Linked DNA regions of Danio rerio. The protein of the gene in region 2 purifies or fractionates together with the protein of the main gene of each other region. This does not show direct contact. Links are inferred from orthologs where the notes say so. Each region holds a gene or a part of one and is shown on either strand. Other genes may lie near its edges.

Region 1 (3,572 bases), on a different chromosome or scaffold from region 2:
CCTGAAGGATAAGTTTTTGAAAACCAAGAGAGGCCATGACAAAATGTACACAATTACAGAATGTTTTTCCACCAGTCATAGGTTTTTACACGCATGTATTTAGTTTAATTTTGTATTAAAAACTATTTAATAGTTACAAAACTATGATGAAGTCATAAAATTATTTTTGATAACTGGAAAGGAATAGATATACTGATGGCCTGCTTCTCTGGGCTTTACTGGTGATAATGGTCAGGAATGTTGGACCATCATTTCCTTTTTAGCATAAGTAGAGGACAGAAACTAGCCAGACAGTAATGTGTGAATTGTGTATTTTTGTGTAACATCTGTATTTTTTAGTCAGTGTGCTTTTTTTTTGCTTTTATTTTTGCGATAATAAAACATTTATTTGTAGAGCGACTCAAGTTCTGTTGTCATTAATATTTTAATAAATTGTAATAGGTATAACTGTTCGAGATATAAACAAAAGCAAGTGATGACCAATAATAATTTGCTAGAAATAACAACAGCAGTGGGAAAGGAGGAAAGTTTATGCTAAAAAAATTGGAAAAACCTGAGGGATAAGTTTGTTTATGCCGAAAGAAATCATGGCAAAATTGAAGACTCAGGTATACAATTACAGAATATGTTTTTCCATCAGTCATAGCTTTTACACTAACGTATGTTTATGGATCGGGCTAAATCCAAAAAAAAATAAATCTGTATTTTTTTAGTAAGTGTACTTTTTATTTTTTGCTTTTATTCTTGCCATAATAAAGATATATTTGTAGAGGAACTCATGTTCTCTTGTGAAGCTTTAAAAAGTAAAACTGTCCGAGTTATGGACAAAAGCAAGTGATGCATTAAAGTTTGATTAAAAAAGACTTAAATGGTTATAAAAATGCTTATAATCATTAAAATACTTTATAAAAACAATACAAAATAATTAGTTTAAAAATATTGAACGACATTATGATATGACGTACTTCCAGAAACTTCTCTGTTTATTCGTCTGATTTTAGGGTGGGTTTCTTTTGACCGCCCCTGTCGTTTTAAAGATTATCACAACGGCGAACGCGGCGAGTATAAAAGCCTCATCCGTTTTGCGAGGTGCGCACGCAGTCAGCAAAGGTGCGCGATGCGGCGCCAGGCACAAGTATAATTCCAGCTTTAGAGCCACTTGAGTGCAAATAAATGGTAAACAAATTTCTTTTTTTGCGTGAACTATCCCTTTAAGAATCCGGCTGCAGAAGTTCAGCATCTTCTAGAAGTGGGTCATACCAGCAGCGGTTCTGGGCAGGTCTGGGTCGAGCGGAGCATGATCCACTGGAGCAGTGTATGGAGGAGGAGGCATGTAGGCTGCTGGTCCATCAAACACAGGAGGACTGGGGTAAAACCCACCTAAAGCACACAAAATAACATGGTAAGGAGGAGACTGTGAGGTTGTAATAATGCTCCCCAAACTCTTTTCACCATCTTTCAGAATGAAACACCAATTTTTCTACATCCAATCAGATCGCAGAAGAAAAAACAAGCCACGCCCACTGTTTGCTCGTTTAATATTCTGTTTTTCTAGGAACTGCGTCACAATTTGAAAGAAAAACGGTCGCAGCTTCCAGTTGATGTGGACTTTAAGTGCATGTTATTACCTGGAGGTGGAGGTCCAGGGTAGGCGTATCCAGGTGGAGGAGGCCCGGCAGGATACATGCCGTTAGCAGGAGGAGGTGGAGGAAAAGCGTACGCACCGTTCGCCATGTAAGGACAGCCGAAGTTTACAGTCACCGGTTGCCCTCTGGATGCTGAGGTAAAGAAAGAGAGGTCATGCACATCCACATCAGTTTGACTGCTTAATGATGAGACTCTTATTTTGAAACTGGTTGAGCACAAACGTACCCTGCTCTGCCACATGTAACATGCGCTGACCAAACTCGATCGCTCCTCCAGCGCTAAAGATCAGCTTGAAGGTTGCAGATCCTTCCCAACCACCTGGAACAATAATGCAAACACACTTGTATTTACAGTATATTTACAGTACATGCTATACTGTAGATCTGTTTACTTCCACACAAGTACATGTGTGCTTCCTTTTCATGTTCAGATTAACTCAAACCAGGACTCTACATTTGATTGAAATCAAAATTCAAGAAGAGTCTTGATCTGATTACTTTTGTCTGTTCACATGGTATACGAAACTGCCTTTTTTTACATTTTTTATTTTTAGTTAATTTATGTTTATTCAGGCGAGGCAGTGGCACAATAGGTAGTGCTGTCGCCTCACAGCAAGAAGGTCACTGGTTCGAACCTCGGCTCAGTTGACATTTCTGTGTGGAGTTTGCATGTTCTCCCTTCTTTCGCGTGGGTTTCCTCCGGGTGCTCCGGTTTCCCCCACAGTCCAAAGACATGCGGTACAGGTGCATTGGGTAGGCCAAGTTGTCCGTAGTGTATGAGTGTGTGTGTGTGGATGTTTCCCAGAGATGAGTTGCAGCTGGAGCGGCATCCGCTGCGCAAAACAAAATTGCTGGATAAGTTGGCGGTTCATTCCTCTGTGGCGACCCCGAATTAATAAAGGGACTAAGCCGACAAGAAAATGAATGAATGAATGAATGTATATTCATTCGTTCATTCATTTATTCAATCATTAATTTTCCTTCAGCTTAGTCCCTTATTTACCAGGGGTTGCTACAGCGGAATGAACCGCCAACTATTCCAGCATATGTTTTACACAGCGGATGCCCTTCCAGCCGCAGCCCAGAGCTGGGAAACACCCATACACTCTCACGTTCATACACTCAGACATTATGGCCAATTTAGTGGCCAATTCACCTATAGCACATGTGCTTGGACTGTGGGGGAAACAGGAGCACCCAGAGGAAACCCACACCAACACGGGGAGAACATGCAAACTACACACAGAAATGCCAACTGACCTAGCCAGAACTCAAACCACTGAGCCTCCGTGCCGCCCATTCACATTTTTAGTAGTTTTTTTATTTTTATTTAATATATATTATAATTTATATATAAATTATTTAATATTCTTTAATGTTTTCAATTTCTATTTAGCTTCATGTAAGCTTTTTTTGCACTTCAACTTTACATTTTTATTTAATCTTATTTATACTTAGTTGATCTTTTAACATTTAAGTTGTCTTTTATACGTACAATTAATAAACATTCATTTATCATTCATTTTCTTGTCGGCTTAGTCCCTTTATTAATCCAGGGTCGCCACAGTGGAATGAACCGCCAACTTATCAAGCACGTGTTTTACACAGCAGCTGCCCTTTCAACGGCAACTCATCTCTGGGAAACATCCATACACTCTCATTCACACTCAAACAGTTCGGACAATTTAGCCTACCCAATTTACCTGCAACGCATGTCTTTGGACTGTGGGGGAAACCAGAGTATGCGGAGGAAACCCACGCGAACACAGAGAGAACATGCAAACTCCACACAGAAACACCAACTGACCCAGCCGAGGCTCGAACCAGCAACCTTCTTGCTGTGAGCGACAGCACTCCCTACTGTGCCACTGCATCACCAATTAGTGAACATATTTTAATAAATGTTTTAGTACACTAAAAAATCTT
Region 2 (3,572 bases):
CACACCGAAGCCGACTTGAGCACCGAACACGCTCTAGAAGTCCCAGAAGTCACTGGGTGGTGGGAAGCGCAGCATTTAATTTAAAGTCCTGAGGTAAATCAGTCATATCTCTGAAGTTTCCCCCTCAATGAAACGGTGAATATGAACATCAGCATAAACATCTTAATAAAGCAATAAACACATTAAGGTTGTTTGTTTGCTGAAATTTGTATTAAAATCAGTTTTATTTATATTGTGCGGAGTATATTTATAATGTTTTATGCACAGTATATATTGTGAAAAGGGGAAAAACAATCAATCGTTTAATGAAGGCTGTAATGTTTAAATAATTTTCCATTAAAAATATGTGAAGGTCATGTGACCATCAGGAAGAACGCAGCATCTCATTTCTCACAGGATGCGTTCTCGTGATCTCCCGTGTTCATTCTTCCGAGGACATCTGGCAAGACCGCTCTCCACAAGAACGCAAGTCCGTTCTCGGAATTGAGAAACAGTGTGTGAGAATGAGTGTGTATGGGTATTTTCCAGTACTGGGTTGCAGCTGGAAGTGCATCCACTGGGTAAAACATATGTTGGAATACGAACTACTGAAGCTGAAGGAAAATTAATGAATGAATATTAAAACATAATTAATATGCTTCCTCCATATCTACAATATCTGTCAACAAGCTTAAAACGAAGTTGAAATCTTATTTCCTTTTGAAATTTTGTAGGTTGAATTATGATTTTAGTGATGTTTTTCCCTTTTTGTTGGTGTTTATTTTACTCGTACAGCACCGTGCACAACTCATAAATGCATGAAATGAGTTTTAAAACATTACAAATAACACATCGCTTATGTTAATAGAATTATTGATATAAACGTTTGTTTATTGTTGCATATATATACACTATGGTTTATTTAAAATAAAATGCACAATTAAATAACAATAATATAAGGTTTAGATTCAGACAAGCAGAGTAATTTAAAATAATAAAGGAAAAATGTTATTCAGATATTTAGGATGTTACCTCGATATTTCAAATAAAGTCAGTTTTTTTGCACTGCACATGCTTGGGAAACAATGATATGTATTAGAAATCGACACTAATAAGCATGAAATATGGCGTAATTTAATTTATATTTTTTTTTAGATGCACACACACACACACACGTATAATTTAAGTGTTATTTTTTAAAACCAAACCAAAACATCTTGTTTGACTGAAATGTAAAAAAAAAAAAATTAAGAGTTTTTTTTTTAATGTATTATAAGGCAACAAAAAACTAAAATAAATAAGTTAACTAAAGTAACTCAATGCCGATTAATGTTTAAATAATTTTGTGAAATATTTGCAATGTTTGTCATAGGATAAAGCGCTTCTATTGGTGTGTTCAGCGATATTAGAGGGACAGTTTGTGTTTTTTTTCTCATGCATTTATTTATTTATTATTTATTATTTTCGACACACAGCGCTCCTCTGCCCTCTAGCGAACGCTCAGAGACACTACAGCCAGCGTTTCTGCATTGACCGGTCAGTGTTGAGCAAGTTTGTTTTAAAACTGTATAATAACATCATTAAAATTGCATTTAAATCACTTTTCTAATTGCCATGTCTGAAAACTTAATTACTGATTACTTGACTCCACTAACAATCCACAGTAATCTGAATGCATACAATAGAAATTAAACATGAAATTCTTTACGTCAATCATTAAAAACACTTAAGTTTTAAACAATGCACGTCTCAAAAAAAAAACATTTCTTTAAATTAACGACACCACAGTTCATACAAACTAGAGGTAATTTCTTAACATTTATATTCAAGACAGATTTTTAAGAATGTGCAGTGCAATTTACTTGAAAAACTGAGTTAACATGCTAATTACCTGAACAAACAAAACCTAAAAATATATACCTTTTTAATTAATCTGCTTTTCCTATTTTAAACCGTATATTGTCATGAATTAAACACATGCACTGAGTTCTTCTGCAAAATATATAACTCTGCTTCTCTGAATTGGTTCATGCAGAACTGTTGGCTTTCTGTGCAGTATTTAAAGCAAGTATATTATAAGTGACTAATTAAATTACCTTAAAACGAATATATATATATATATATATATATATATATATATATATATATATATATATATATATATATATATCAGGGCTCGAAATTGCGACAATTTTGGTCGCACATGCGCCCGAAATTTTATCTATGCCACCTTAAAATATATTTGGGAGCATTTCTGCGAGTGCATGAATGAAGATAACAATGTCAGGTTTAGTTTTAGAAACCATCTAGTTACAAATAATGAGACATCTTACTAGTGATCATGTGCTGAATGTTAATCCACCACCTACACTTTTCCAAGAGTCAAGCACTTTGGACAACGCTTGAACAAAATTTAAGACCTCGTAAAAACACAATCAAGACTTTATATCTTTTAACAGCCTTAATTTTCTCATGATTAATTGATCAACTTTCAATACTTTAAGACCCAGCGGACACCCTGGAAAGACAAACTATACAAAACACATGTGAATCAACAGCGGTCACACAGTTTAAGAAATAAAATTCACCACAAAAGCAGCATTTTTACACGTTAAATATACCTGCAATAATAATCATCCACATCTATAGACCTGATCCCTGACTGACTGATTAGAACTCAAGGAGTGAAAATCCTCAATCCTGCAGCTCCACCTGCTGGACAAACCCTGAAGCACAGCTCAGCCTCTTTGTGAATGCTTGTGTCTGTGTGCGTTTCGTCCTGCTTGTTTGTAATACTACATATTTCTGCTGTCTGGTGATCTGCAGTTCTTCTTTTATCTTGATCTGGATGAGAGTATCTGCTAAATGAATATGTGTTTTGTGACACTGACCGATGCCAGAGTTGGCTCCGGTGACGATGATGACCTTGTCGGACAGGTCCTGGCCATGCAGGATCTCCAGAGCGCCGGTGTTTCCGTCGTAGCGTTTAGGCTTCACCTGCATGTCCTCTACAGTGAAGGCCTGCCGAGGGTCGAAATACGTCTTACGCTTGTTGATGTGACTGAGGACAAGAGGGAAAGAGACATCAATAAAGTCAGATTATATCAATAAAATAGTATAAAAAAAATTATACTGGAGAGACATGGAAAAAAAACTATAGCTTGAGTCAAAGTTATTCATTGTCGTGTGAATTTCTTCAAATGTTTCCCAAATGATGTTGAACAGATTCAGGAATTTTTCACAGTATTTCCTATAATGTTTTTTTCTTCTGAAGAAAGTCTTAATTGTTTTTTTTTCCCGGCTAAAATTTAAGCAGTTTTTAATAGTTTTAAACCCATTTTAAAGGTTAAAATTATTTTATTTCAAATATTTTCCAACAGAGCTAGGATTTTTTTTTCCACAGTATTTGCCATTATATTTTTATTTCTAGTAAAAATCCTATTTCTTTCAGTTTGGCAGGATGTAATGTAATGTAATGTATTTTTTATTTAGTGCCATGTCAGCAACCAAGGCTATTTTCATGGCAGGAATCTTTCAACAATAAATATACAATTTAAAAATCAACAAACAAAATAAAACATAAATTAAATAAG
Region 3 (3,572 bases), on a different chromosome or scaffold from region 2:
GATCATCATCATCACTCCCTCCAAAAACACCAGTATTCAGACCCGTTTCTCAAGCTTGGCCATGCATTTCCTCATATTTGCACAGATGAACTGAGTGTAAGTCCTCTCTGTAATGTTGCAGTGTGTCCTGCAGGTGTTTCAGCGTGGTTTCTCACTGCGGAGACTCGCTGCGGCTCTTCTTCTCTGCGCTACTGAACAGCTGATCATAGGCTGGCGGCGGGTGGTTGCAGTATGACGGCGGTGGAGGGTACGAGCTCATCATGGCCGCCGCAGGGCTCTGGCCGGAGTACACGGGAGTCAGAGACGCCCCCATCCCAACGCAGGGTTCCCCAAAACCCTGCATCACTGGCTGCTGAGACACTGGAGGAGGAGGAACAGCTTATTAATGCAAGACGAAGCACTGCAGAACTGTGAGTACACTTCAACATTATCCATGCAAGGTAGAGACGGTAGAGGAGGCGGGAAGGAGAGAGGATGGTAAGGAGGGAGGGAGGAAGGTAGTGGAGGAGGGAAGAGGAGAGGAAGGTAAGGAGGAAGGGAGATAAGGTGGGAGGAACAAAGAGAAAGAGGGAGGAAGGTAGGGAGGGTGCTAGAGTAGGAGAAAGATATGGAAGGACAATAAGAAGGTAGGTAGCAAAGGAGGGAGGAAGGTAGGGAGGGAAGAAAGGTAGCGGAGGAGAGAGAAAGGAGGGGGTGGAGGAAGATAGGAGAGAGGAAGGTAGGGAGTGAGGGAGGTAGGGAAGGAGGGAGAAAGGTAGGAAGGGGAGGAAGGTAGCGGAGGAGAGAGGAAAGAGGGAGTGAAGGAAGGAGGAAGGTAGGGGGGAGGAAGGGAGGTAGGAAAGGAGGGAGAAAGGTAGGAAGTGAAGGAGGGAGGTAGAAACGTAGGAAGGGAGGGAATGTGGGCAGAAGGGAGGCAAGTAGGCAGGAAGGTAGGGAAGTAGGGAGGAAGGTAGGGAAGTAGGGAGGAAGGTAGGGAAGTAGGGAGGAAGGTAGGGTAAAGAAGGCAGAGAATGGGAGGGTTGGGGTTTAGAGAAGTGGTTTGTCAAGCTCACTACTTTCCAACTTCTCTAGCTTTATTCCTCCCTCCCCCTTTTTTCTCCCTTTATCCCTCCCTCTTCACCTCCATCCTTCCCTACCTCCCTCCCTCCTTACCTCCCTCTCTCCCTCCTTACCTACCTCCCTCCCTCAGTCCCTCCTTACCTACCTCACTCCCTCCTTACCTCCCTCCCTACATACCTTACCTCCCTCTCTCCCTTCTTACCTACCTACCCACCTCCCTCTTTACCTACCTACCTCCCTCTCTTCTTACCAATCTCCCTCCCTACCTACCTATCTACCTTCTTACCTCCCTCCCACCCTACCTATCTACCTCCTTACCTTCCTCCCCACCTCCCTCCCTCACTGCCTTCCTGCCTCCTTCTCTACCTACTTGCCTCCTTCTCTATTCCCTTCTACCCTCCTTCCTGTTGGAGTAGACGTTAATAAAATACAATTTACTGGGTAATTTAATAGATAATATCAATAATTCTCATTAACTTCTGGCCGCTGCTGTATCTCTTCTAGCAACCTTATTTTCACATTCAAATGTCCGAATAAGCATCTGAATGGTGTTTAATGTGTGTTGAGTGTTTGTTGAGTGTGTGTTTAGTATGTGTGTGTGTGTGTGTTGGCACCAGGTGTGCTGACGGGTTGTCTGGTGAAGGACACATTGAAGGCGGGCTCGTCGCTCAGCACTGACGGATACATGCGCCTGCGAATGAAGAATCCAGCGCTGCAGCAGAAGAACACGCCCATCATCAGCAGCAGCCTATCAGAGAGCAGCAGTCATGAAGGACACGCCCACCACTAATTCAAGTACATATTTTCCATATTTCTGCTTTAAAATGTTACATTTGACATTTTAATAATAATTTAATCACACACAGATTAAAAACTGATGTATTTCTGAGTAAAATGAACCGTTTGCTGACCACTTCTCAGATTATTCCACTGTAATAAATGTAGGAGATGTAGTTAATGCAGGAAAATTTATAAATATCTAATACATTTAATGAATTATTTAATAAAAGTTGATCCTACCAGAAGTACCAGAGTCTCTGTATGGAGAGAGCCCTGATGCAGCAGCGGGTTCCACAGCAGTCCTCATATGAGCGGCATCTACACACACACACACACACACGCGCGCACACACACACACAATTGTAAATTGCTATAAATGAATCATCACGTGCTGGTTATTCTAACGTGTTATTATAATATTATCCTCTACAAACAGACTTCTGGCAGCGCTCCAGATGAGCTGATGAAGCTGGATTAAATACATTCAGTCCTGTTTTATTCAGCTTGCTGTGATTCTCATTTGCGGCCCTCATTCATTAAATGCTTCATAAGGTGCAGCAGGAACATTCTTCAAAACATCTCTCAGACTTCTCGGTCAATATATTTACTCAAGTTATTTCCTGTTTTGTTCATGTTCTCACAAAATGAGAAGTAATGATGAGATTGTGAGCTGATCTGACGTGTTTTGGTGGAGCAGGTCGGTTTGTGGTGCTGTGAACGTCCTCAAGGTGAACACGGCTTCATTAACCACTGAAGGTCTGTAATTAAAGCTCCTCATTAGCAGAAGAGCTTCAAAGTTTCTGCCCTTTAGTGTAATGAGCGTGACCGTCTGATATTTACAGCAACACTCTCTACACTGACGGAGCATGGCCGCATTAAAATTGACAAATAGAACAAGGCATAGGGGCGGCACTGTGGCCTCACAGCAAGAAGGTCGCTGGTTTGAGCACCCAGAGGAAACACACGCCAACACAGAGAGAACATGCAAACTCTACACAGAAACACCCACTAACCCAGCCGAGGCTCGAACCAGAGACCTTCTTGCTGTGAGGCCACAGCACTACCTACTGAGCCACTGCGTCGCCACCTTCGGAATATTATAGTAGTGTATTTAATTGTAATTATTTACTTTATCAAACTATATTAATGGTGTGTGTGTCCTAATTTATTAACGGATGCACATTGTGGGCACCAGAGGCATGTTAGAGAATCTGTGCAACACTGAATACACAATAATATATTAAGTTATTGTATTGTTGTTGTCTTATTTATTCTTTGTATTTGATGATCCTGTTTCAGAAATATTGATTAAATCAACATGAATACAGAGGGTACTCACTCACCATCTCAATCAGTTCTGAACTATTGAAGGGTTTTATTTTTATCCAGCAATAGTGAGGTTACACAGACATGTGCCAGATTTTGTGAATGTTTTATACAACATTTGTATTAGCAAACATATATCACATTGTTTCTGTGGGTTTTTACCTCATTTCTTCAGAGATAGTTACTGTCAGAGCCCTGCATTAGTGACCGTAATGTCTTATTTATCTTATATTGTTTTTGCTGTGTTCTTGCTGGCTGATCTGCTGCCACCTATAGGCCATTCTAGCCACTGCACTGCAGGAGAGTCGATCACAGCTGAAGCCAATCAGCTAGAGGCCTGCAGTGTGTACAGACAGCGTTCAAACGCTACTTTGGAGGACATTGAGCAAACTTTGTAAAGCAGTTTG

The links. The genes of interacting proteins can lie anywhere in the genome.
Region 1: the proteins of wwox (region 2) and wbp2 purify together in Homo sapiens (affinity purification with mass spectrometry; 3 studies listed by BioGRID and IntAct, with this or other methods). This does not show direct contact. The link is inferred for Danio rerio from reciprocal best matches to the Homo sapiens genes WWOX and WBP2.
Region 3: the proteins of wwox (region 2) and vopp1b purify together in Homo sapiens (affinity purification with mass spectrometry; 3 studies listed by BioGRID and IntAct, with this or other methods). This does not show direct contact. The link is inferred for Danio rerio from reciprocal best matches to the Homo sapiens genes WWOX and VOPP1.

What each region holds. Positions count from the first base shown.
Region 1 is NC_133187.1:47,462,616-47,466,187, reverse strand, and holds part of wbp2 (WW domain-binding protein 2), read right to left. Parts: intron 1,966-3,572; coding exon 1,873-1,965; intron 1,784-1,872; exon of another isoform or gene 1,779-1,783; coding exon 1,629-1,778; exon of another isoform or gene 1,556-1,628; intron 1,403-1,555; exon of another isoform or gene 1,381-1,402; coding exon 1,261-1,380; exon of another isoform or gene 1-1,260. UniProt on the Homo sapiens protein: Acts as a transcriptional coactivator of estrogen and progesterone receptors (ESR1 and PGR) upon hormone activation. In presence of estrogen, binds to ESR1-responsive promoters. Synergizes with YAP1 to enhance PGR activity.
Region 2 is NC_133200.1:39,782,531-39,786,102, forward strand, and holds part of wwox (WW domain-containing oxidoreductase), read right to left. Parts: intron 3,041-3,572; coding exon 2,871-3,040; intron 1-2,870. UniProt on the Homo sapiens protein: Putative oxidoreductase. Acts as a tumor suppressor and plays a role in apoptosis. Required for normal bone development. May function synergistically with p53/TP53 to control genotoxic stress-induced cell death.
Region 3 is NC_133199.1:273,590-277,161, forward strand, and holds part of vopp1b (WW domain binding protein VOPP1), read right to left. Parts: exon of another isoform or gene 3,442-3,572; intron 2,158-3,441; coding exon 2,080-2,157; intron 1,855-2,079; exon of another isoform or gene 1,808-1,854; coding exon 1,674-1,807; intron 361-1,673; coding exon 152-360; 3' UTR 1-151. UniProt on the Homo sapiens protein: Increases the transcriptional activity of NFKB1 by facilitating its nuclear translocation, DNA-binding and associated apoptotic response, when overexpressed. May sequester WWOX in lysosomal vesicles and thereby regulate WWOX role as tumor suppressor.